Caenorhabditis elegans: one gene and its partners. The gene in region 2 interacts genetically with the main gene of each other region. Each region holds a gene or a part of one and is shown on either strand. Other genes may lie near its edges. The genes, in order: rbm-3.2, spn-4, vig-1 and asd-2.

Region 1 (4,315 bases), on a different chromosome or scaffold from region 2:
AGAAAAATCGGATTGATGGCGGCGAAAATGTGGCATAATTTGGTTTTAACTTGATTTTCTGTATGCACTAACTTTGTATTTATATCGTCTCTTCAAACTATTTCTTTAATTTATACGAATCTCAACTTCTCTAAACCTCTATTGATCCTCAAATCTATTTAAATCTTTCGTTAAATCGACAATTAAAAAATTTCCGTCGTCAAGTGTGGTGCCGGTGGTGCATACACCGCCGCGCACAAATGCACAGATTTCGGCGTTTTCGAATTTTTATCGGATTTCTTTTCTCTATATTTTAAAGGATATTTTCTATCGTTTCTTGTCTAAAAACACAGTTTTTATCGAATTTATCACAATATAAACCTATTTATCATCTTTCTTTTGTGAATTTTCACTGAAAAATCAGGTTTTTTTACCTTGAAATTCTAATTTTCACCCGGTTTTATTTAATGGATGTTTGGATTTTCTCAATTCCTATTTATTTTCAGAATGAGCGGCGAAGAAGAGAAGGCAGCGGACTTTTACGTTCGTTACTACGTTGGACACAAGGTAGGTCTTGGAAAATCTTGGAAAAATGACAATTTTCGCCAATTTAAATTAGTTTACGAAACAATTTTCAGGGAAAATTCGGTCACGAATTTCTCGAATTCGAATTCCGTCCAAACGGATCGCTTCGCTACGCGAACAACTCCAACTACAAGAATGACACGATGATCCGCAAAGAGGCGACAGTGTCGGAATCGGTGCTCAGCGAGCTCAAGCGTATCATCGAAGACTCGGAAATCATGCAGGAGGACGATGACAATTGGCCAGAACCAGACAAGATTGGACGCCAGGAGCTGGAAATTCTGTACAAAAACGAGCACATCTCGTTTACGACCGGCAAAATCGGAGCTCTAGCCGATGTGAACAACTCGAAAGATCCGGATGGTCTCCGCTCGTTCTACTATCTCGTTCAGGATCTCAAGTGCCTCGTCTTCTCGCTCATTGGCCTTCACTTCAAGATCAAGCCAATCTAATTTAATTCCTTCAGACTCTGTTCTATTTTATCCACCAAATCTCTTTAACTTGTTTAATTTATTCGATTTTCTCTTCTCTTCTTAAGTTCTCAAATTTCTCAAGAATAAATTTTATTTCTTTCAAAAAGTACAGTTAGAAAAAGTCTGAGAGGTGGGGGAAAAGTTAGAATCAAAATCAATTTCATAGGGGGGGTCAATTCACAGGCCATTTGTAATCCGATCCGTTGGTCCTTAGCAATATCTAGAAATGTATTCCCGAACACGATGATTGAACGATTCGCGATTCTGACTCCACATCTGGGCGGCTTGAATGTTCAGCGCGTCGTTGAAGTCCATAAGATCGTTGAACAGTGAGACGAGTCCGTGGACGACGTCGGTGAGGTTACGCGTTGGACGCCATCCGTATTGATCCAACGAGTTTTGACGCAAAATCGATAGACAAATCGATCCGTCCTCGTTGATATTTGGATGCCAAACCTTTGTCAGGCACTTAACAACGGGCGGCACGTTGTTGTACTCTGGCGGGACGGTGATCTTGAATCGGAATTTGCCTCCACGATAGATTCCTTCTTGAGGTGTCACGGTGAGTTCCAACTCATGAAGACACGATGTTGATGGGACCTCGAGATGCCACAGCTTTTGCTTCTGATCGCGAAGAGCAGTCTCCAGCTGTTGGAGTTCTGAAAATGTTGTAAAATCAAAATTTTTTATAAAGCAGCCACATACCCTGAGCTAGGAGCTTGTCACGGACGGCGATGCGGGTTTCAAGATACCGACCGTCCTCGTTGTTGCCGTTGATTCGTTTTTGAAGATTGAACATTCTGAAAGCGAAAAATTAAGAAATACGATAATTTTCAGCGATATAGGCGGCGCATACGGAAACATAGAGAAAATAATCGTTTTTTTGGCAAAATTACAGTGTAAAAGGGTCAAAAATCGATGAAAATCTTGTAATTCAGCGAAAAAACGACAAATTACGTGAGAAAATGAAACAATTGCTATGAAAAATGACAGAGAATGAGGAATAAAAGACGCAGCGTTTGCTAACGCTGAAATGACTAAAGGGGGCGGAGCGCGAACGCAAGGCTGGCACACTTTTACCGCAAGTGCCGCACGGTTTCCCACGAGTCGGAGGAGGCAAGCGAAAACGATTCGAATCACACATATTTACGCTCCGGCCTAAAATCGTCATGTCTGGATTCTCTGTTTACGGTTAGTTTTGTTAATTGTAAATTATTCAAGTAGAAAACTGGAATATTCAGCTTTAAAAGCAGATTTTAATCGAGAAAAGCCGAATTTAAAGTCTGGCCTAAAATTTTTATTTTTCTCCAGGCGTTTTTCTATTTATTGTATTTGATTAGGCTGAGATAATTTGAGTTTTTAATAATTTTAATGCATTTTTCAGTCGGAAACGCTCCATTCCAAACTACCGAGGACGACCTTGGCAACTACTTCAGCCAGGCTGGAAACGTCAGCAACGTCAGGTAAGCTTCTCTCCCCGAAATCTCCTCTTCCCGAAACCTCCTGAACGACGACCCGTTAACTCTCAATATGAATCTCTATTTTCAGAATCGTTTGCGACCGCGAGACCGGACGTCCACGTGGATTCGCCTTCGTCGAGTTCACCGAGGAGGCCGCTGCCCAGAGAGCCGTCGACCAATTCAACGGAGTCGATTTCAACGGAAGAGCTCTACGCGTCAACTTGGCTCAAAACAGAAACAACTAATTTTCATATCGGTACTTTGTTACTTGTTTGATCTTTAATGATCTCAATAATAATAAACCCATGAAATCGTTATCATAAATATATATGCTCTATTTTTTTATTTCGAATCTTCATTTGGGGTCAATCTGATGGCAAGCGTTGAGGCTAGAAGCTTGAAGGAACGGCTTCGGTTCGAGCAAGTTTTGAATCCTGGGCTATGCGCAGCCCAATGTGAGCTTACAACTGAAAATTCAAGTTTCAACACTCTTCGCGGTCTTATTTTGGACTAATTCCTCATATTTTCAGCTTGAAATGGAAAAAATCTGTCGAAATCGATGCTATTCGAGGGGCGGGGCCAAAACGCAACCCTGGCACGGTTTTTACGCAACTGCCGCACGTTTTCTCCAAGGCAGGGTGAGCGGAAAAATTAAACCGTCATAAATTTTCTGCTACGGCCTAAAATCGTCATGTCTGGAATCTTCTCTGTTTACGGTTAGTTTTTTAATAATTTATTTTAAGTATTAAACAATCGGAAACTGGTTAAAATAGCCAATAAAACTCGATATTGTCCTGAAATTTTGGGATTTTTCGGAAAAATCGAATTCGCGAAGTTTTCCCTAATATTTTCATTTGAAAAGGCAATTTTAAGTGTTTAGATTCAAATTTGGTTGCGAAATATTTAAATCAATTAAAATTTTCCTTTTTTTTAGTTGGAAACGCTCCATTCCAGACCACCGAGGAGGAGCTTGGAAACTTCTTCAGCAGCATCGGACAAATCAACAACGTCAGGTAACTCTCCCAGCCAGCCCGAGCTTCATGATTTCTAACGCAATATCTCTTTCAGAATCGTCTGTGATCGCGAAACCGGACGTCCACGTGGATTCGCCTTCATCGAGTTCGCCGAGGAAGGATCCGCACAGAGAGCCGTCGAGCAGATGAATGGAGCCGAGTTCAATGGAAGACCACTCCGCGTCAACCTCGCCAACAAATAAGTTGATCTTCATATCGGGTTTTTGTTACTTTTTTGCTCTTCACTGATCTCATTATTAATAACAATCCAATGAAACTATCGATTTAATTATTTAATTCAATTTCAACTATTCTCTAACTAATCTGTTCAACATTCGGGGAAGTTTCTCTATTTGTCATCCTTCCATCCGCCGACCTGATTCAACTTTCTTCTTCCCCAGCTGCTCCGTTCAAGAGCCTACTCGACTACTAACCTGTTGCTGAAAATGTCGAAGCGAAAAGCAGAAGAAGCACCAGCACCAAAGCTCGCCTCGATCTTCACAAAGAAGGTGAAGCCGGCAGAAGAGGACAATAATCAGAAAAGCTGGAAGTTTGTGTGCTGGAACGTGGCAGGGCTCAGAGCTTGTGTGAAGAAAAGTGATTTTAAGGAAGTGCTCGCCGAGGAGCCTGACCTCGTTTTTCTAGGAGAGACCAAGTGTAAGGAGTGGCCCCCGGAGATGGAGGAGACGTTTAAGGTAAGGAATTCCTGGAAGAAAAGAGATTTTTCGCATATTTTACGGCCGGGTTTCATCAAAAATATGTTTATTAACACATTTTAAACGAAAAAACGTAGAAATTTCCATTA
Region 2 (5,418 bases):
GAAAGAAAATAACTATATTGTTTTTGGGAAGAAAACGAAGATGGTGACAAATTACATGTCGGGATTCTTGTTTTAGTGTGTTAAGGGGCCATTCCTATATGATATTACGAGAACACTGAATTTCAAGAATGCGTATTGAGCAAAATATCTCGTAGCGAAAACTACAGTAATTTTTTTAAATGACTACTGTAGTGCTCGTGTCGATTTTCGAAAATGTTTTCTTTTCGAATTTGGACAGCGGGTTTCAATTTTGCTTCGCTTTTTCGAATTGTAAATAATTTTAATTGATAATCGCTGCCAAAGTTCGAGAAAATATTTTCGAAAATTGAGCCCGTAAATCGACACGAGCACTACAGTAGTCATTTAAAAAATTACTGTAGTTTTCGCTACGAGATATTTTGCGCGTCAGATGTTGTGCAATTCGCATTCTCAAAATGTAAATAGTGTTCCTGTAATATAGGCGCTGGGGAATTTTAGAGAAAATCAAAATCTATAGGAAAAAACTATGAAAATTCCAAGTTTGCCTAATAATGCATATTTATTTCAGGTATCTTCATTCCTGTTTCGTGCCTATTTTGTTGGGTAAGCGGTGGTTGTCGACGATCGAAATCCCGTCGAATGTCCTTCTTCGCAACACTTTCAAGTCGTCAAAATCGAAGTCGACGTGGCACAGGAAATGATGAGGAGCGAAGCAGTTTGTACCCTTCCTCTCCACCCACTCTTCAAATCCGTAAGTTTCTCTCTCTCTCTCGTGTTTTCCCATCCATTTTGAAGTTATCATCAAAAACCACAAAACTTCAAAATTCACCAAACTTTTCCAGCAGCATCCACAAAGTGCCGACAGCCATCGTCCTTTTCTCTTCCCGCAGTCTCTCACGACGTCATTTTAGAAGAGAGTGAATCTTCTGATCATGAATGGAGGAAGGCCAAGAGGTGCCGAAAGATAACATTTGATCTCTCAATGACACGCCGGGATAATGATCTTTCACAACTGTGATTAAATTCAAACTGAAATCTAGTATTAACGGGTGATTTTGAAAATAAAACAATTGAATATGGCGAAGCACTTCATTTGACTTCGAGCAATACAGGAATGCAAAAATAACTGGCGAACACAGCGTCTATAAAATACAAAAAAAACAGAAAGATGCTCAGAAAATACAATACGTGGGCACATTCAATAATGTTAGCAAGCGAGGTAGGTTAAACGGACTGGTAGTATATTTTCAATATAGAAGATCTGTTTTCCGATTGCTAATGTTGAGTGTATGTGAGAGATGGCAAAATAGGGAAGATGCTGAAACGCATTCCTACAAAATAACACCGGGGGGGTCGATATAGAAGCTACAGGGAAGAAAAACTAGCAACGAATCATTTGACAAGGACAACGAGTGTCGCTGTACAAGAAGATTCCGTAAAAAATTTGTTAAAGCTTTTTGGTTAAGTGAAAGTTTAGGGGTGTTCGATAAAATGCAAAACACGCAGTTAGTAGAAATAAAATGGGCGTATCAGTTGAACTGATTACTGGCTTGACGATTCTTTTGGTGGAGAAACAGACTTTCCGTGGAACGATGTGGAACCTTCGTAGAGAGCAGCGAGAAGATAATCAGGGCTGTTATGTGGGGACCAATGAATCTCTTCGTCTAAAATTTGATTTTTAAATGAAAATCGACAATCTAGAATCTAAACTATTTACCTGAAACTGTCTCGCTCTCTGATGATCTCAATCCAGAAGATGTCACAGATGGTGCTCTCTTTCCTTTGTTAGCACTATTATTTCCTGATCCAAAATGGTTTGAAGTGTCGAGAAGAGCAGTAATCTGGTCACGAAGATGATGTGGGAATATAGAGTTCAACTCCACATCAGACAGCTCGTGATTCGAAGAATCAGAACACTTATTGCTGCATGGTGAGTTTTGTCTGTGCATGCACATCAGAATACTTGTTTCCGTCGTAGGCTCGCCGTTTTTGCAGAAGTATTCACCAGCTGAAGAAAGCTTGAGCTCGCTGTGCTTGGTGCATCGAGGTGGTTTGGTCTGCACAAGACTACGCGTGTTGAAAATTCCATTGCTACGGTATGGTGCCATCATGAATCCAGCTTCGGGAAAACATGTTGTGTTCTCCTTTTCCTTGAACAACTGATGCATTGGCTCAGCTCTCCATAAATTATGAGGGGCTCGAAGATCGACACACAGCTTTGGTGGTGGCAAAACTTCATTTTGTGGATTGTTGATAAGCTTTCTGCGGGTTGGTGTCGCTCTTCTCACTTCTATAATTCTTCCTTGAACATGTGATTCGTGAAGCGCAGCACGAGCTTTCTCACAGGATTCGATGGAATCGAGTGTGACAAACCCGAACCCTTTGGATCCACGATCATTTGTGACGATTTCCACACTCAGGACTCTTCCATATCTGAAATTAATATTCTTATTCAGAACTTGTTGTAAATTGAAAACTCACGCGAAGAACATTGCCGCCAAATCTTGTTCACGAAACGAGAAGGGAATATTGCTGACATATATCCTAAAAGTTTTTTGATGAATTCATTAAAACGGCACGACAAATTTACCTGTTATCTGTGAAAGAAGCCGGCTCACGAGTTTTCGGTTTGACCGATATTGGCATTGTGAAAATTGGATCTTTGTTGGAAGGATTCGCACTGTTAAACGGTAATCTGAAAAAGAAATACTTAATACCAACATTTAAAAATGATAAACATACCCATCATGTGCTCTGTGAGCGAAGTTAGTAAATATCTGTGTGTTTTGCATTCTGAAAAAAAAAGTTGAATAAAGAAAAATGAGGAACTGGGTAAAGAAAAGACAAGACAACAGAAGACAAGTGCAGAAATGATTCCAAATGATGATAAAACGATTGAAAATATAATTTCACATTTTCCCGCCACCGAGTTACAGAAAAATCTAAAATCAAAATTTCGCGCCTTTGTGATCTTCTAGATTTCTAGTTCATACGAACGTCGGATCAGGTCTAAAAGTTAATATAACTAGACAATTTTGTGTTCTATTTTCGATTAAAAAAATTATTTTACGAATTACTAGAAACTAAAGCTTTAATTCGATTTTCTTTAGGCCAAGAGCAAAAAATAATTTTATTTGATTCAAACTCGCGCTTCATTCATAAGCCCCGCCTTCGCAATCCTGGCACGCAGTTTTTGCAAGGAGCGTGCACGCAGTTGCCTTTCTTCTCTTTTTCTCGTTTCATGTCAATTGCGTTTTTTTTCTCTGCATTTATTTTTTATTGAATTCTTTTCCCATTTTCCCATAAAATTTTATCTATTTTTTCTCATTCTTATAGTTTCTTTCAGATACTTTGCAAAAGAAATGATAATATTATAAAGAATGGCCCTTCGAAGGAAATTCACTTTTGAACTTCCGGAAGACAGTTATTGGAATGAATCTGACTCGAATTCATCCGGATTGTTTGATGATTTACAATCAAAACAAGTAAGTTTTAACGTAGTTATTATATTAAGAAAAAACGAAAAAAATCTTTTAAAACTATAAACGTGACCAGATGTTTTACTTTTAAAAAATTGAAAAAAAAGTAAATTAACACGTTTCTTAATTATTATATTGCTCAAATCAATGTGTTTAACACGAAAATTAAAGCTTCAAGCTCGAGCAGCCGTCGACAATCTCTTCGGTGGCGATGAGACTCCGAAGCCGTACGTCCGACCGCAGAACCCAACGCCAACTCCCACAAATGTTCCACTGCAAATTGACGGAAGAGCTGCTGCTGTGTCAGACAAGGCGAATATTCGAATAACAGAGTAAGTTAATTACATTGTTTTATGAATATAAATAAGTAATTTGCAGTACCTCTCCTCGGGCTTCTGGCAAGATTGTAGATGATTTCTTGAACATGAAATTCGCTGAGAACGTTAACGTGGCGCCAGTTATTCAGACCGCTCCATCTGTGGTTTCTGAAGCAAGTGCAAGTAGTTTACCAAGTGAAGCACAACGTCTTGATTTGGATTATAATCGATTGAGACAAGAACATCGGAAACTTAAAGATCAGCACGAAGTTAGCTATTAAAGTTTTAATATAGAATTTTGAAGATAATTATGATTCTAGGTTCTTCGCCACGAACGGTTTCAGCCGCTTACAATCGAGGCTAGTATCAAGAGAATGCTTCAAGGGCATACTGTAACACTGGATTACTATAGGTCATTACGTGATAAGACACAACTTTTGAAGCAAGCAGTTGCCACGTACGACAATAATACAATTTTCAAGGTCCGAACAGCTATGATACTAATTTTTTAAAAAGTTATCTTTCTTTACAGATTGTGATTTTTCTAGAGAGAACTCTCAAGGAAAACATATTCTGCAAAATAATGGATGGCCAGAAAAGTGCATGCCGAGTTTACACACGACATCTTCAGATCACCGGCGAGTGGGACAAGATGAACAAGTTTTTACGGTATTTAATAAAAACTAAATTAAAATTTGTTGAAATCAATTTCCCCATTTTATAGTAGCATTGGTCAGTATCAACATGCATCTGTCATTGAATTCGAAGCTACGCGAAAATACAAACGAAATCCAGACAAGCGAGTCCCGTTGCTCCGAACCATGCTTCATGGTAGCTTCTCAATTCCTGAAATGAAATTTGAAGCCCGACAAATGGAAGCGTTGATGAGAAACTATGAAATCCAATTGCAAATGGAGAAAATGGATGCTGGAGATAAAGGAGAACATTTCCGAAAGTTTCCAAAAACCAGCTCTCTAATTGGATTACCTGCTCTATCGTCACTGTATTATTCAGCGATGTACCATTACGACGATTCACCGGTACATTACTCTTCAGAACGTTGCAAAATCATTCATAATCGATGTATTACAGACATCTGCAGCTTCTCTACCATCAGTTCAAACATTGATCCGATTCAATGATCGACTTGCCACTCAAACGATCGTCTCAGCGTTGACTCGACTAAGCCGTTGGCCAGATATCGATAAGCTACTTCAACCGAAAACTATCACCATGACGTTCAGTGCAGCTAAAAGTAATTTTGTGGTTTTAGCTGAGAAAATATCTAAATTAACTGAATTTCAGGTGTGTTCAAAGGCAAAAAATCAACCAGTAAATGGGGAGTTTCCATCAATAATCACAATTTGCTGACTATTGTAAAACGATCTCATCCATCTCCACCGACTGATGTGAGGAATAGTTTTAACAAGATACCTATTATTCATGTGTGTAAATTTTCAGTTCATCTACCGTATCCTGAAAGGCGAATCTGATGCACAAGAACGTCTTCGCCTAGCACTACTATTTGATGTTCCTGAAATGGTCATCGAGTGTCTGACACAGAAAGGAGATCGTCTCTCGCTGGCTTCATACGCGAAATCTCTGAAAACAAATTCTGTGGAATCATTCAAAGCGGTGGCGGC
Region 3 (5,927 bases), on a different chromosome or scaffold from region 2:
GCGGGGTCTTCAAGATTTTGGTCTGCTAAATACAAAATGTAGTTTGTAGTCTAGCAGACCAATTTGGGGGGCCCATTTCGAAGCTCTAATTTTCGCAAAATGTTGACAAAAACTGAATATTTGAAAAATTATCTGTTACACAGCAGCACAATTCATTCAAAACATGATAAAACTTTCAAAAATCGGCCAAAACTCACGTCAGCTTGGGTCTAATTCTTTTGTGTAGTTTGTAGTCTAGCAGACCAATTTAAGGGAAAAACCATTTTTGAGCATTTTTTTTAAAAATAAAATGAATTGTACTTCTCTTCTGCTGTAAACAGTGTCTTGAGAGCTAAAAACTGAAAAAAAAATCCCTAAATTCAGTCAATTTTTAATTTAAGATTGGTCTGTTAAATAATTGTAGTTTGTAGTCCAGCAGACCCATACGAAACTCTAATAATTTGGGTCTGCTAAATACGACTTGTAGTTTGTAGCCTAGCAGACCAAAACTCTTCAAAAGCTCATGGGTCTGCTAAACACAGACTCTAGTTTGTAGTCTAGCAGACCAAATTCTCATTGGTCTGCCATTTCAGAATTGTAGTTTATAGTCTAAAAAGCTTCTCAGGGGACCTAATTCAATTTCAAATTCGGACGCCGCTGCTGTCATAAAATCGTTACTAAACTTGCGAAATAGCAATTTCCAAAGAGAGAAGAGTCGCAGGAAGATTTAATTAAAAATTAAATTATTTCGAACGCAAGCTCGCTCTATTGAGAATCTGAAGAATTAAAAATTCTAATTTAGGCGGCTAACAGAAGGGAAATCAATAAGAAGTGAAAGGAGAGCAAAAGTTTTTGCCGAGCAATGGGGAGGGGGGGGGGTGCTCCCTCTCTCCCGCTGAAGAAGACGTCGCGGCTCTCTAAAAGAGGCGGCAGAGAATCAGAGCACTCGGCTCGCGGCCTAGAAATGGCATGTGTCAGGCCACGCCCCTGTGGTTGGTTTAGACCGTTTTATTACAAAATACGGATACAGTTGGGTGGGGGGGGGGGGGGGGGGTGTGTGGAGGCAAAAAGAAGAAAAATGGGTGTTTGTGTGTGTGTGTGATATAGAATGATTGGGGTGTTTAACACAAAAATGATGCTTTATCAAATCTTGTTAACAACAAACTCCAATTAAAACGAAACCTGGGCGCAATGGGGTGGTGGTTGGAAGGGGCACAAATTGAGTTTCCTAGTACTAGTTCGTTGATCCTTGACACAATTGAGACCTTTTGTTGTGTCAAATATTTGGTAAAGAAGAGGTCGTCTTGGTGGGTGTATGTGGAAGATCAAGGGATTCAAAGGGCTTAAAAATTAAAGAAAAAACGGGAGATAACAAGCAAACCAAATCGAGGGCAACTCATCAGAAGAGAGATCGATAAGGCAGGTGATAACAACAACAAGCTAAATGGGGGAACTAGAAAAAAAAGAAAAATAAGAAACAGGCATTTTGGAAACGAACAATTTGTGGGGTAGATGGGCACAGGCAAAGATATTGAAAAGAGGAGAATTTTGAAGAAAACAAGATGGAGAGAAGAACAGAGCATTTGAATGAGGGCGGGCGAATTGGTTGGTTGGCTGAAGGTCGTTGAGTGGGGGGGGGGGAATTACTTGGCACCGAGAGCTGGGAAAGCATCGTCAGAAGCGTTGAATGGAGTGTTGTTGCGTCCTCCATGACCTCCTTGACGTTGTCCTCCACGGCCTCCACCGCGTCCACCTCCTCTTGGTCCTCCACGTTGCGGCCTCTCAGAACGGTCGTTGCGCTCGCGTTCTGGACGATCGTTGCGGAAAGTGATCGAAATGTCGAGCACTTGCTTTCTTGGAGCCTTGTGGATTACGACGACCTCGTCTTCCTCACGATCTGGGATGACCTCCTTCTTGATTGGAACGAGCTTGCCAAAAGTATCGGCGGCTCCCTCTCCGGCCTTTCTGGTGTTGAACTTTGGAGCGTCAGCCTGAAACAAAAAAAAAAATAAATTCCAAAACTAATATTTTATACGACTCACCTTAGCCGCAGCCTTGAACTCCTTAAGAGTCTTTTGCTTGGCAAGAACAGCCAACTCAGCCTCGTAGGCGAGCTCCTCAGCGGTCTTCTCACGTGGAACCTCTGGCTCGGTGCTCTCAGCGCCCTCTGGAGCAATGTTCTCGGTTTCTCCAGCCAACTCGTCCTTCTGGTCTCCCCAGTTGCCCTTTCCGTGTCCGTCCTTCTTGTCGAATGAGCGAACTCCGGTACGGTCGGATCCGGATTGACGATCGAATTGACGCCCACGTCCACCACGGCCTCCTCCACGTCCGCCAGATGGTCCACCTCCAAGGGTGAATCCTCCACGACGTCTTGGGGCACGGGTATCTTGTCCGTCTTCGAAAGAGACCTCTTGCTTTGGCTCCTCTCCTTCTCTGTTCTCGCGAGTGAATCCTCCGCGGCCTCCACGTCTAAAATACAAAGTTCAGTAAAATGAAAAAAAAAATTAAAAATTTAAGCGTTTCTTACCCAGCTGGACGAGCAGCACCGCGCTCACCGCCTCTGCGGGGTCCTCCACGACGGTTCTCGCCTTGTGGACGATCACCGTTCTCGTTGGAGACACGTTCTCCGTCACGTGGACGGCCGGCTCCCCCGCGTCCGCGACCACGTCCTCCGCGTCCACGTCCAGCAGCACCGTCGGTTTTGGTGGCGGCTGAAATAATGTTTAATTAATTTAAGAATAGGAATGCCAATTCTTACCAACTGGAGCAGCGGCTGGCTTGACCGGCTGGGCGGGCTTCACAGACTTTTCCTCCTTCTTCTTGGCGGCGATTTGAGACACCTTTTGGATGAGCTCTCTTGGGTCGTCATACTCTGCAAATTATCGATTTTTTATAATGTCTTCTGGGCGGAGTATATCGCATATGAATATTGCGCAATATCCCATCGGGAAGATAAGATAATCATCCGGCGATCATCATCATCAACCACTCACCATCGTCGTCGTCGGATGGAAGACCGAACTTGTTGGTGACCTGGCAACCGTATTCAGTGCTCATTTTTGCTGTTTGTGTTGATTCGATGAAGATAAGATTCCAAGTGCAGGAAGCTTCTGTTCAATTCAATAATTTCAATGCCAAGTTAATCAATAACCCATAATATGGGGATACCTGCAAGAACGTTAGTTTAGATTTCAAATTTTCAAACAAAAATCGATATTTAAGAAAAGAGTATAATTAGCCAGACACCGTTGCGATATTTTAAATCAGTTAAGCACTTTTCACAACTAAAATCAAAAAATAAAAAAAGCAAATTGCATTTTCTTAAGGGAATTTTTGAATGTTCCAGAAAGAAATCGAATCAAAAGTCAGAAAATCAACAATTGCTCAAAATCCACTATTTCGGAATAAAATAAACATTTTTCAGTGCAATTTTGATCAAAAATCGGTGATTTACTGCTAGCAACCCAAAAAATTACAAAAAACCGGCGAAAACGGTCAAAAAAAATCGGAAAAACTGTTCAAATCGGACAGGTGAAGGTTTGGCTGCGTATCACAATAGTGTAAACTGGCGTTTGCGAGCCGCTACGCAGCCAAATGCGACCGCCGAAATGGGCGGCAGTTTGAAATCGAAAACTAGTCCTCGGCCATTTTCAATCAATTTTTGGTTGGGGGAAAACTTGTTTTCCAATTGTTTTTGTTGTCTTAAAGTATTTGAAAAGAAATTTATGACATTTCCAGCCCAAAATGTGTGTAAAAAAAGTAAAAATGCCGGGAAAAAGTATTTATTACAGCGGGGGATAACGAATAATAGTGGAAAAACTCGTTTGGTGGTGAAAAATTGGAAAACTAGAAGTTGAAAGTTTGTTAAAATCACAGATTTCGCGAGAATTATGCTATATTTACACAGAAAAATTAAAACAAAAATCAAATTAAAAAGCTCTTCATCTTCTCTATTTCCGCAGCTCGGGATCACAAAAATATTTACCAGCGAGCACCTTTTTACGAATCATAGACAGGTGATAAATATCCGATTGCACTAGGGAAATGTCCACTCCAGATAGATTGGCTTCCAGGCACTGAAAAAGATAAATTAAGAGCTTAAATTTCAGTTTTTAGTACCTGAAATTGCACGAAGACCTGCGCCGGCTTCCGATCGAGCATTTCCAAGCTTACTTCGTCCTGGAAAATTATATATTTTTTATTTTAAAGCAATTAAAAAGCCCGACCCCAGAATTCTTCATAAATATCCTTGCTTTCAGCGATCCGTGCACATCTCCATTTCTTGAAATTTCCAGCAAATTCCAGCCGAGTGACGGATTTCCAGCCACCCATTTGGCTTCTGGCTCACACATCACAGAATCCACGCTTCCCGTCAAATTTGTGCTGAAATTCACGTTGAGAAGTGGCGCCGAGATGGAAGATTCTGAGTTGAGGCGATAGTCGACACGGAGATCTGAAAAGAAATGCGGATTTTTATTATTAGGCTTTATTTTTGGCGTTTGCATTTAAAAAGTACTACAAAAAACTCAATTTTATTTAGCAGACTCAGCAATTTTGCCAATTTCAATAAAAAATTTGGGTCTGCTACACTACAAACTACAAAATCAAATTTAGCAGACCTATCAATTTTCTGCAGTTTTTAATAAATTTTGGTCTGCTAGACTACAAACTACAAACTCTTAATTAGCAGACCCATCAATTTTCTGCAGTTTTTAATAAATTTTGGTCTGCTACACTACAAACTACAAAATCAAATTTAGCAGACCTATCAATTTTCTGCAGTTTTTAATAAATTTTGGTCTGCTAGACTACAAACTACAAACTCTTAATTAGCAGACCCATCAATTTTCTGCAGTTTTTAATAAATTTTGGTCTGCTAGACTACAAACTACAAAGTCTTATTTAGCAGACCAATCAATTACTGCGCTTTTTAGGAAATTTTGGTCTGCTAGACTACAAACTACAAACTCTTAATTAGCAGACCCATCAATTTTTCGCAATTAATATTAAAAATTCAAATTTTCTCAAAAACACAGAAGATTTCTCGACGAACCAGTGTGTCCAGGTTCGAATTTCCAGTACGACGTCAGGAATAGCGGCGGAACCATATTACACGGTGCCGTCGGCTCCATTTCGAACCGCGCGACCTCCGCGTTCACAAATGCCGCATCCGGCTTCGCGAGCTTCTGTGCTTGAAGCCACGTGGCAAGATGGGTCTTGTTAAAGTAGAAAATGCACATCTCGTCGTCCTTTTTGCTCACATTCTCATCGATAAGTTGCTTGTTGGGGAGCACTGATTTAATGAATTTAGCATTTGAGAGCCGGAATGCTAGTGGCTCAATTTCGTGTTGGATGGACGTGAGAAGAGTTATTGATGACGTTGGAAATGATATCATTACGGTGCCGAAAGTGCGCTGAATGAACTCTTCGGCTCCTTTTTTGAACCAAACATGCACGTGCTCGTTGATGGCCATGGCTAGCGGAATTCGCTGTTCGGATATTGTGGCCTGAAATTTGAAAAAAAAATCAACATTTTCGAGTTTCTTGAACCCTGAATCTTAAGCCTGAAGCCTGAAGCCTTACCTGCAATAAATTCCCGGTAGACTGTGACAAATTAAACGTGGATTCTCCAAGGGAATGATTCGATTCACTGGGCGCCAAATTGAAAGTACTACTCCACGGATCCATAAAGCTGCTCGCCGAGTCCTTCCGGCTCATCATTTGGCTCGTGGTGGGAGTGTTGCTTCGGGGCCGAGCTCGTGCGATTCCGGCCGCCATCGCCTGGTTATGACCCATGGAAACGGAGAAGGCAGGAGGATCCTCGGATTCTGGAATTAGGATTTCTTTTCAAATTTAGGAAATTCTACTAGAAAAGTTTAAAATATCGAAGAAAGAATATTAAATTACCACTAAAATTAGTCCTAAACCGTCCGTCAGCAGTGTGATGT
Region 4 (6,142 bases), on a different chromosome or scaffold from region 2:
CCTTTTCGTTTTTTTTTCTTCCTTTGTTTTCGCTGGTTTTCTTTGGTTTTTTTTTCACGAAATCTGTCCCAAATGACGGCTATTTCGAGGATTTTATGACGCTTGAATGTTTGCAAACAAACGGCTTTTTGCCTCCGACGACCCATCGTTGACTTGTTGAAAGCCTAAATTTCCAAAAAAAAAAGTTGAAAACAACAGAAATTCTGTCTGACATTCTCGCGTTAGTGTGTCTGCTATTTATGCAGAAATACTCCTGTAAATAAAATTTTTATCACGAAAGTAGATTTATTTTTTCCAGTCCACAAAATAGATCCGCAGTTATGCAGAAACTTGTGATAATCCGACGAATAAATATCAAAAACATCTCGAGTTCCCATTCAAGTTAATCATTTTCACAAATTTAACTCAACTAGATGATCAACTCAACATCTCTCCAGATACCTGTCACTAGAAATTATATCGTTCTGTTTCCTTTCACCATTTTCTTGCCTTCCGCTTTCATTTTTTCCTCATAAAACGAATCATGGGAACCCCGAAAAGATAGTGTTGATTGAACGGAGACGGATGATGGAAAAAGAAGAAAATACGCGCGCACACATGTTGTCAGTGATGGCTTTCCAGTGATTTTCCAATTTTTATTCGCGTGTGTTCTATATTGAGCTGCTCATCGAATGGATAAGTGTTTATTCTCTAATTACATTCGGATTGTTTTCCATATTGAACATAGTTAGTTACCGAAGAGATTATCTTCTCATCAAGTCTTTGCAATTAATGATATTTTCTAGAAAGGTTTTTTGCGGCGTCCATTTTTTCAAATTCTTGACGGAAATCCGACATTTAGAGCCAATCAATTGAGACAAAGTCGGGGTCCTTTAGTGCTTCCCGATGGCCTCAAATAGCAACAACTGGTGCGGAAAAGTGGGCAAAGAAGAATAAGAGGTCACCTGGCATCGTTACAACTGATCCGCCTGTCATTCTGTCCGTCTAAATCTCTCTAATCCGTAATCTATCGTCATATAAGTTTTCCTGAGCTCATCATCATGTCTTTCACTCTTTCTCTTCGTCCACTTCTCACTCATTTAAGCTTATTCCTTCTTCCTTTGCTTCTCGTTCGAATACTAAAAGAAAGGGTGTATGAAGATGATGACTATAATTAAATCTGCACGCGGCATGTATTAATTCATATTTAGTGGTGGTAGAGGACTCATAGTTTTCTTCATTCCCTCTACCGTGCAGTGAGACATTACTTTTGGAAAAATTTATTGAACTTTACAATAAATTTGAAATATGTAAAGTTGACATATATTTATACCGATACGATAGGGAAGCCAGCTTTTACGAGCACTTTTCCAGAAAACTTGTGTTTTACATCGAAAATACATTTAGCATGAATCTTTTCGCTCAAAATATTTCTGAAAATCTGAAAATGCGAACCCTAATTAATATTTAATTCGATTCGCGGATTTGCCAAATTCTCTTGTTATTCCTCGAATTTCTGGAAAACCCACATCTCGTTTTCTTTCTCTAATATAATCTTAATTCAGATTGAGCAATTCTAAACTTTCAATTTTTCCAATAAATTTTCTTAATACTCTTTACCCTTCCAATACCCTATCCAAAATACTTTCGTGTCAATTTTTCCAAGAATTATTCATATTTTTGAGGTGCAACTCTCACCCCAGTAAGAGAAGATTTTCATTTTTACACGAGGTAGCTTATAAATATCGATGAACTTATTTTTCCAAACAATCTGAGCTTCTCAAATCGAAGCAACAAGTGATATCACATTCAAAATAATTTCTGTCAATGTGGACAATTTCAGTCAGTTATTTGAAAAATACTGAAATTTAAAAAACCTTGCCATTGGAAAATATTCATTCATTGAAAGTATGCTTTCAATATTCTTGCCTCTTATTTCTTTTAGTGCCGCATTCCAACGATGACCTTCTCATTGCAATACATTTGAAAAATGAAAGTGTATGCCGACTGCCTAGGTGTTACGTAACTTGCCATCCAGCCGATTCGGTTTCTTCTCATTTGTTTATTCGCAAATAAAACACCTTATGCTTCTTAGCTCACTTTATCTTTATAGATTTTTATTAATTCAAAAATGACTCCAGTTTTAAATGTTTAATTTCCAGCCGTATTCCTGTCTTCACGCCACCCAATCGATTCTTCAAGTGCTAGGAGCTGTCAGGTAAGCTGTTATTTCTTTTAAAAATTTGTATTTAACTGTAAATAAGTAGAAAACCATTAACTTGAGAAAAGTTCTTCCAATATCCTTTCACCAATTTTATTCTCGTGTCTCGGACAATTCTATTATTCCATCATGCAAGCAATGTACCGGAAAATTGGTGCATTCATAAGGTGCATTCATAAGGCCATCCTTCAATTTCCTTTTACAAATGTTACCTTTTATTGTTTTTATTTTCGGTCCTCTTCCCCTTTACCTACTTTGTTCGGAGCTTTATAATCCTACAGTAATCTCTTAAATCTGAACCAGTTCCCATTGAATTCTTCTTTCCTCTACTTTTTAACATCGATGAATGTGGGTAACCACGGGTGTTAATATCGGGCAATAACGAAATAGTGCAGACTTCACTGGAGAGACCGTCAGAGAAATACCGACAAAGTATGTAATTATGTTCTCCTCCTTTCACCATCACTTCGATGTATTTACTTGCAAGTTTGGAGTTTGTTCACATTTTCAATTCTCCCTCTTATTCTTTTTTAAGGTCAATGCTTTCAGTTCAAAAATAATAAAGCCATATCACTTTATTAAAATTCCATAAAAATCTAGAATACCGTATTCAATATTAACTCTTTGCGTTGTTTTCTTAGGGACCATGAATCAGAAGTTGAGGATTTGACTAAAAAGGATATGGTTATAAATTCAAATAAATGAATCATTCAAACCTGACGTGATACATGCTCATTGATTATTTCGATGTTTCTAACTTTCGAATCAGTAACCTGATTCTTGACGATTTCGTGGAAATGAGTTACATTAACAACATTTTGATACTCAGACTCTCCCATCTTGAAAATCAGAAGTTGCTGTTTCTTCAGGTTCATCGATAATTGAGTCTCAATTCCGAGTCGTTTAACAGTATAAATTCCGCATGATTTCTCACTTTCACTGCCGTAGGGAAAATAGGAAGCACAGTTTGCAGTTTCTTCTGAAATTTAATTTTTTTTTGAAATCTGAGGTTTAAAATTTTACCCGGGTCTAAATCAGATATAGTGTGAATTGTTGGAATTCCTTTATGTAGAATCATTTGCCAAAAGTCTTGTGTCTGTTCTGGATCTGGACTGTTGGCATAAATTTGAATGACATTATTCAGACGGTTTTGAGATTGAATTGGATATGAGCCGAGCGATTTCTGTAGATCAAATTCCTCGGTTTCCAGTTTAACGAGATTTTCAACTTCGTCAGCTCCGCCAATTTGTCTTGATTGGCATCCAGACAGTGAGATCTGAGATGATGAAGAGGTCAGGAAACCCAAATAGCAAGATTTTTCGTAGAGAGCCTTTCTATAAAGAATGTTCGATTTTCATTTCACGGTATCGAAATCAAACCTAGCGTTGGCCGCCTGAATAGGTTGTGTCACGAAATCTGGAACACTGGATCCTTTCTTTTCAATGAGATATGAATTACGCTCCACAAGTCTATCCCGGAGAGGACTGAACTGCATTGGACCATGAAAAAGCCAGTGTTGAGTTGGCTTTAAAAATATAAGATTTATTATTTATTTTTTGATAAAAGCTTACCATATCATTCAAAAGATCTTTTCGAAGATTCTCAAACTCTTCATCTTCTTTTGTATAATCTTTTGATGGATATTCTTGAATATCTCGTTGACAGTGCCAAACAACATACCAACCATAATTTTCTGGTCTAAAAGTTAAAATCAAATCAGTATTAGTAATCTGAACACATTAACTTACACTAGTTTGCATCTTACTGCAAACTTTTGAATTTTGCAATGTCGATATGGATATTCTGGATCTGTCAATCGTCGTACAATTATCTGTCCACATTTGAGAATCTCTTGTTTATCGTCAGGAATATATTGCTTACAGTTGGCCCCTCGTTTCTCCAAAAACTTTCCAAACATTGTAATCAAGCTGATGCGATCTTTATGGCACTGAGTCCAAAAATCTTGTGTTCGAGTTGCGTCAGGGCCCTGAAAGAGTTATAGTGCATTTATTAATTATAATTTCACTTACCAGACATTCGAATTCCAACCCATGACCATTGATTGAAGACTCTACCATGTCAAACTCGTAGCTATTCAGAACTTGCTGACAGCAGGTTTTTTCTGAAATAAAATAACGATACTTGCGATGAAATAAACTGAAACTCACTATCTCTTTCATAATCCTCCTTTGTTGGAATCAATAAATTGGGCTCCGAGTCTTTGTGATTTTCATATTTTTCAAGAAGAGCATTCATATCATACTTTGGCCATCCATTTTCATCATCACTCAAATCAGTTAATAAATCATCAGCTTTACATTCAAGTTCATCAATTTCCTTCAAAATCTCTTCTTTTGGTTTTGATTTACCATAATTCCCAGGAATTCTTCCATGTTCGAGTTCGAAAAGTTCCTTTGGTGTAAGCATGGTTTTACGCTGTTTCAAAAATTCTCGATAGTTTTCCGAGCATACAAGTTCCCTTATATTGGAATGAGTTACATCAATTCCCTGATTGGCAAGATATAACAATGGATCAAATATCGACTCAACACTATCATCACTGGATTGTATATCAAGATGTTCATCGTCAACGCCACTTCCGGTAACATCCACCTCACTTCCAGAAGACACACGTGAGACTTCGGAGACATCACGAGAGATTCTTGAATCGGGAATCGATTCTTCGCATGTTTCTGGAATGACCGGCACTTCCAATATGAAATCTTGAGACTTTGCAACAACGGCGGGACCAGATTCAATATCGACTTTTGTATAATATCGATCCGCTGGTGGCGAGATTTTCGCCTTTTTTGATGATTTTGCACCCATTTTGTGCAAGTTGGAAGACTTCAAAACTCGTAGAAGTTTAAAATGATTGTCTTCGCAAGATTTTATAATCGTGGTTTATTGATCTTCCCTTGTGTACGTTGAAATCAATAATTATGTTTTCAAATGTTTTCACGTCAAAAATGGATTCGTTTTCAAGAATGTTCATATTTTCTGAATATTATCATTCAGTCTTTCTTCAAATGATTTTTAAAAAATAACATTTTTTAATTTTTCTTTGAACAACTCGTGCTCATCCCCTTTCGAACGCTTCTACTGGAACACTTGTTCCATTTTTCGATCCGTTTACATCATCTTATTTTTTAAATTTTGTCACACCAAGCAGTAAAATCCTAAGTGTATATGTCTCTATGTCTCTTTGGAAGACACTTCCGGTATCCGGAAGAGCCGACGGATGCGCGCGCCAATCCTTGTGCGACTGCGGCACTGCAATGGAGAGATGACGGCGGCAATGTTGAAAATGATCACAACAACCGAATAAATGATATATTCATCTTGCGTTAAAAAACACGATTTTCTTCTAATTCCGATAAGATCTTCATTCGAATAATTATATTAAAATGTGCCAAAGCTTCTTGTTATCAATTCTTCCTTTTTTTAAATTCAGATTCTCTTTAAAGCTTGGAGTATTATTTTCTTTTATTGTAGCTTTTTCAAACTGAACATTAAAAAAATTAGGAAAAAAATATTCACAATTTATTTTTTTTTCCGAAATCTTCTGATAAAACACTATAGAATATCTTCCAAAAATGTAAACACGAAAACATCCGTCTAGATAATTCCCGTTTTACGTGACGAATAAGAGGCTTTTGAGCCTACGCTCATCTCACTTGATTCTTAAATTTATTATATAAAGATGTATGCGTCTTCCATCATAAAAATTCTCTTAAATTTTTTGAATTTAAATCCTAATTTCAATTTTAACATACAACTTTCCACATTAAAGTTTTGCCTCTTTTTGAAAACGAGTAATGTTATTTTCTTTCAGAACCGTCTGCGTTGGAACTCTTCTTCAAAAATGCTCTCCACGATGGTACATCACTTTGACGCCAATGACTACGTCAGTGCGGATTGGAAACCAGAACCTACGGTTAG

What was found.
Region 1: of spn-4 (region 2) and rbm-3.2, a change in one rescues a mutant of the other (synthetic rescue), as found in Caenorhabditis elegans (one study listed by BioGRID).
Region 3: of spn-4 (region 2) and vig-1, a change in one rescues a mutant of the other (synthetic rescue), as found in Caenorhabditis elegans (one study listed by BioGRID).
Region 4: of spn-4 (region 2) and asd-2, a change in one rescues a mutant of the other (synthetic rescue), as found in Caenorhabditis elegans (one study listed by BioGRID).

What each region holds. Positions count from the first base shown.
Region 1 is NC_003279.8:11,908,848-11,913,162, reverse strand, and holds rbm-3.2 (RRM domain-containing protein), read left to right. Parts: upstream 1-2,141; 5' UTR 2,142-2,206; coding exon 2,207-2,228; intron 2,229-2,421; coding exon 2,422-2,500; intron 2,501-2,585; coding exon 2,586-2,742; 3' UTR 2,743-2,835; downstream 2,836-4,315. Other genes in the region: hda-3 (Histone deacetylase), read left to right, coding at 1-38; mag-1 (Protein mago nashi homolog), read left to right, coding at 487-546, 618-1,016; NEDD8-conjugating enzyme ubc-12, read right to left, coding at 1,248-1,696, 1,743-1,836; rbm-3.1 (RRM domain-containing protein), read left to right, coding at 3,189-3,213, 3,432-3,510, 3,566-3,713; exo-3 (exodeoxyribonuclease III), read left to right, coding at 3,957-4,205.
Region 2 is NC_003283.11:6,782,132-6,787,549, forward strand, and holds spn-4 (RRM domain-containing protein), read right to left. Parts: upstream 2,773-5,418; 5' UTR 2,772-2,772; coding exon 2,722-2,771; intron 2,675-2,721; coding exon 2,570-2,674; intron 2,524-2,569; coding exon 2,461-2,523; intron 2,413-2,460; coding exon 1,697-2,412; intron 1,644-1,696; coding exon 1,522-1,643; 3' UTR 1,056-1,521; downstream 1-1,055. Other genes in the region: ZC404.15 (uncharacterized protein), read left to right, coding at 548-730, 822-997; spe-39 (Spermatogenesis-defective protein 39), read left to right, coding at 3,360-3,464, 3,630-3,790, 3,837-4,044, 4,096-4,257, 4,308-4,444, 4,500-4,815, 4,868-5,030, 5,081-5,184 and 1 more.
Region 3 is NC_003280.10:1,318,257-1,324,183, reverse strand, and holds vig-1 (Hyaluronan/mRNA-binding protein domain-containing protein), read right to left. Parts: upstream 3,148-5,927; 5' UTR 3,037-3,147; coding exon 2,973-3,036; intron 2,852-2,972; coding exon 2,738-2,851; intron 2,691-2,737; coding exon 2,507-2,690; intron 2,449-2,506; coding exon 2,022-2,448; intron 1,971-2,021; coding exon 1,623-1,970; 3' UTR 1,111-1,622; downstream 1-1,110. Other genes in the region: fcho-1 (FCH domain only protein 2), read right to left, coding at 3,930-4,055, 4,099-4,158, 4,206-4,432, 5,033-5,486, 5,563-5,807, 5,887-5,927.
Region 4 is NC_003279.8:6,888,141-6,894,282, reverse strand, and holds the start of asd-2 (K Homology domain-containing protein), read left to right. Parts: upstream 1-2,139; 5' UTR 2,140-2,197; intron 2,198-2,760; exon of another isoform or gene 2,761-2,837; coding exon of another isoform or gene 2,838-2,870; intron 2,871-2,916; coding exon of another isoform or gene 2,917-3,179; intron 3,180-3,223; coding exon of another isoform or gene 3,224-3,534; intron 3,535-3,579; coding exon of another isoform or gene 3,580-3,725; intron 3,726-3,771; coding exon of another isoform or gene 3,772-3,898; intron 3,899-3,948; coding exon of another isoform or gene 3,949-4,187; intron 4,188-4,230; coding exon of another isoform or gene 4,231-4,322; intron 4,323-4,368; coding exon of another isoform or gene 4,369-5,029; exon of another isoform or gene 5,030-5,081; intron 5,082-5,398; exon of another isoform or gene 5,399-5,539; intron 5,540-6,035; 5' UTR 6,036-6,065; coding exon 6,066-6,137; intron 6,138-6,142. Other genes in the region: C48B6.4 (Tyrosine-protein phosphatase domain-containing protein), read right to left, coding at 2,838-2,870, 2,917-3,179, 3,224-3,534, 3,580-3,725, 3,772-3,898, 3,949-4,187, 4,231-4,322, 4,369-5,029. UniProt on the Caenorhabditis elegans protein: RNA-binding protein that binds to the 5'-NACUAAY-N(1,20)-UAAY-3' consensus sequence in pre-mRNA introns to promote alternative splicing.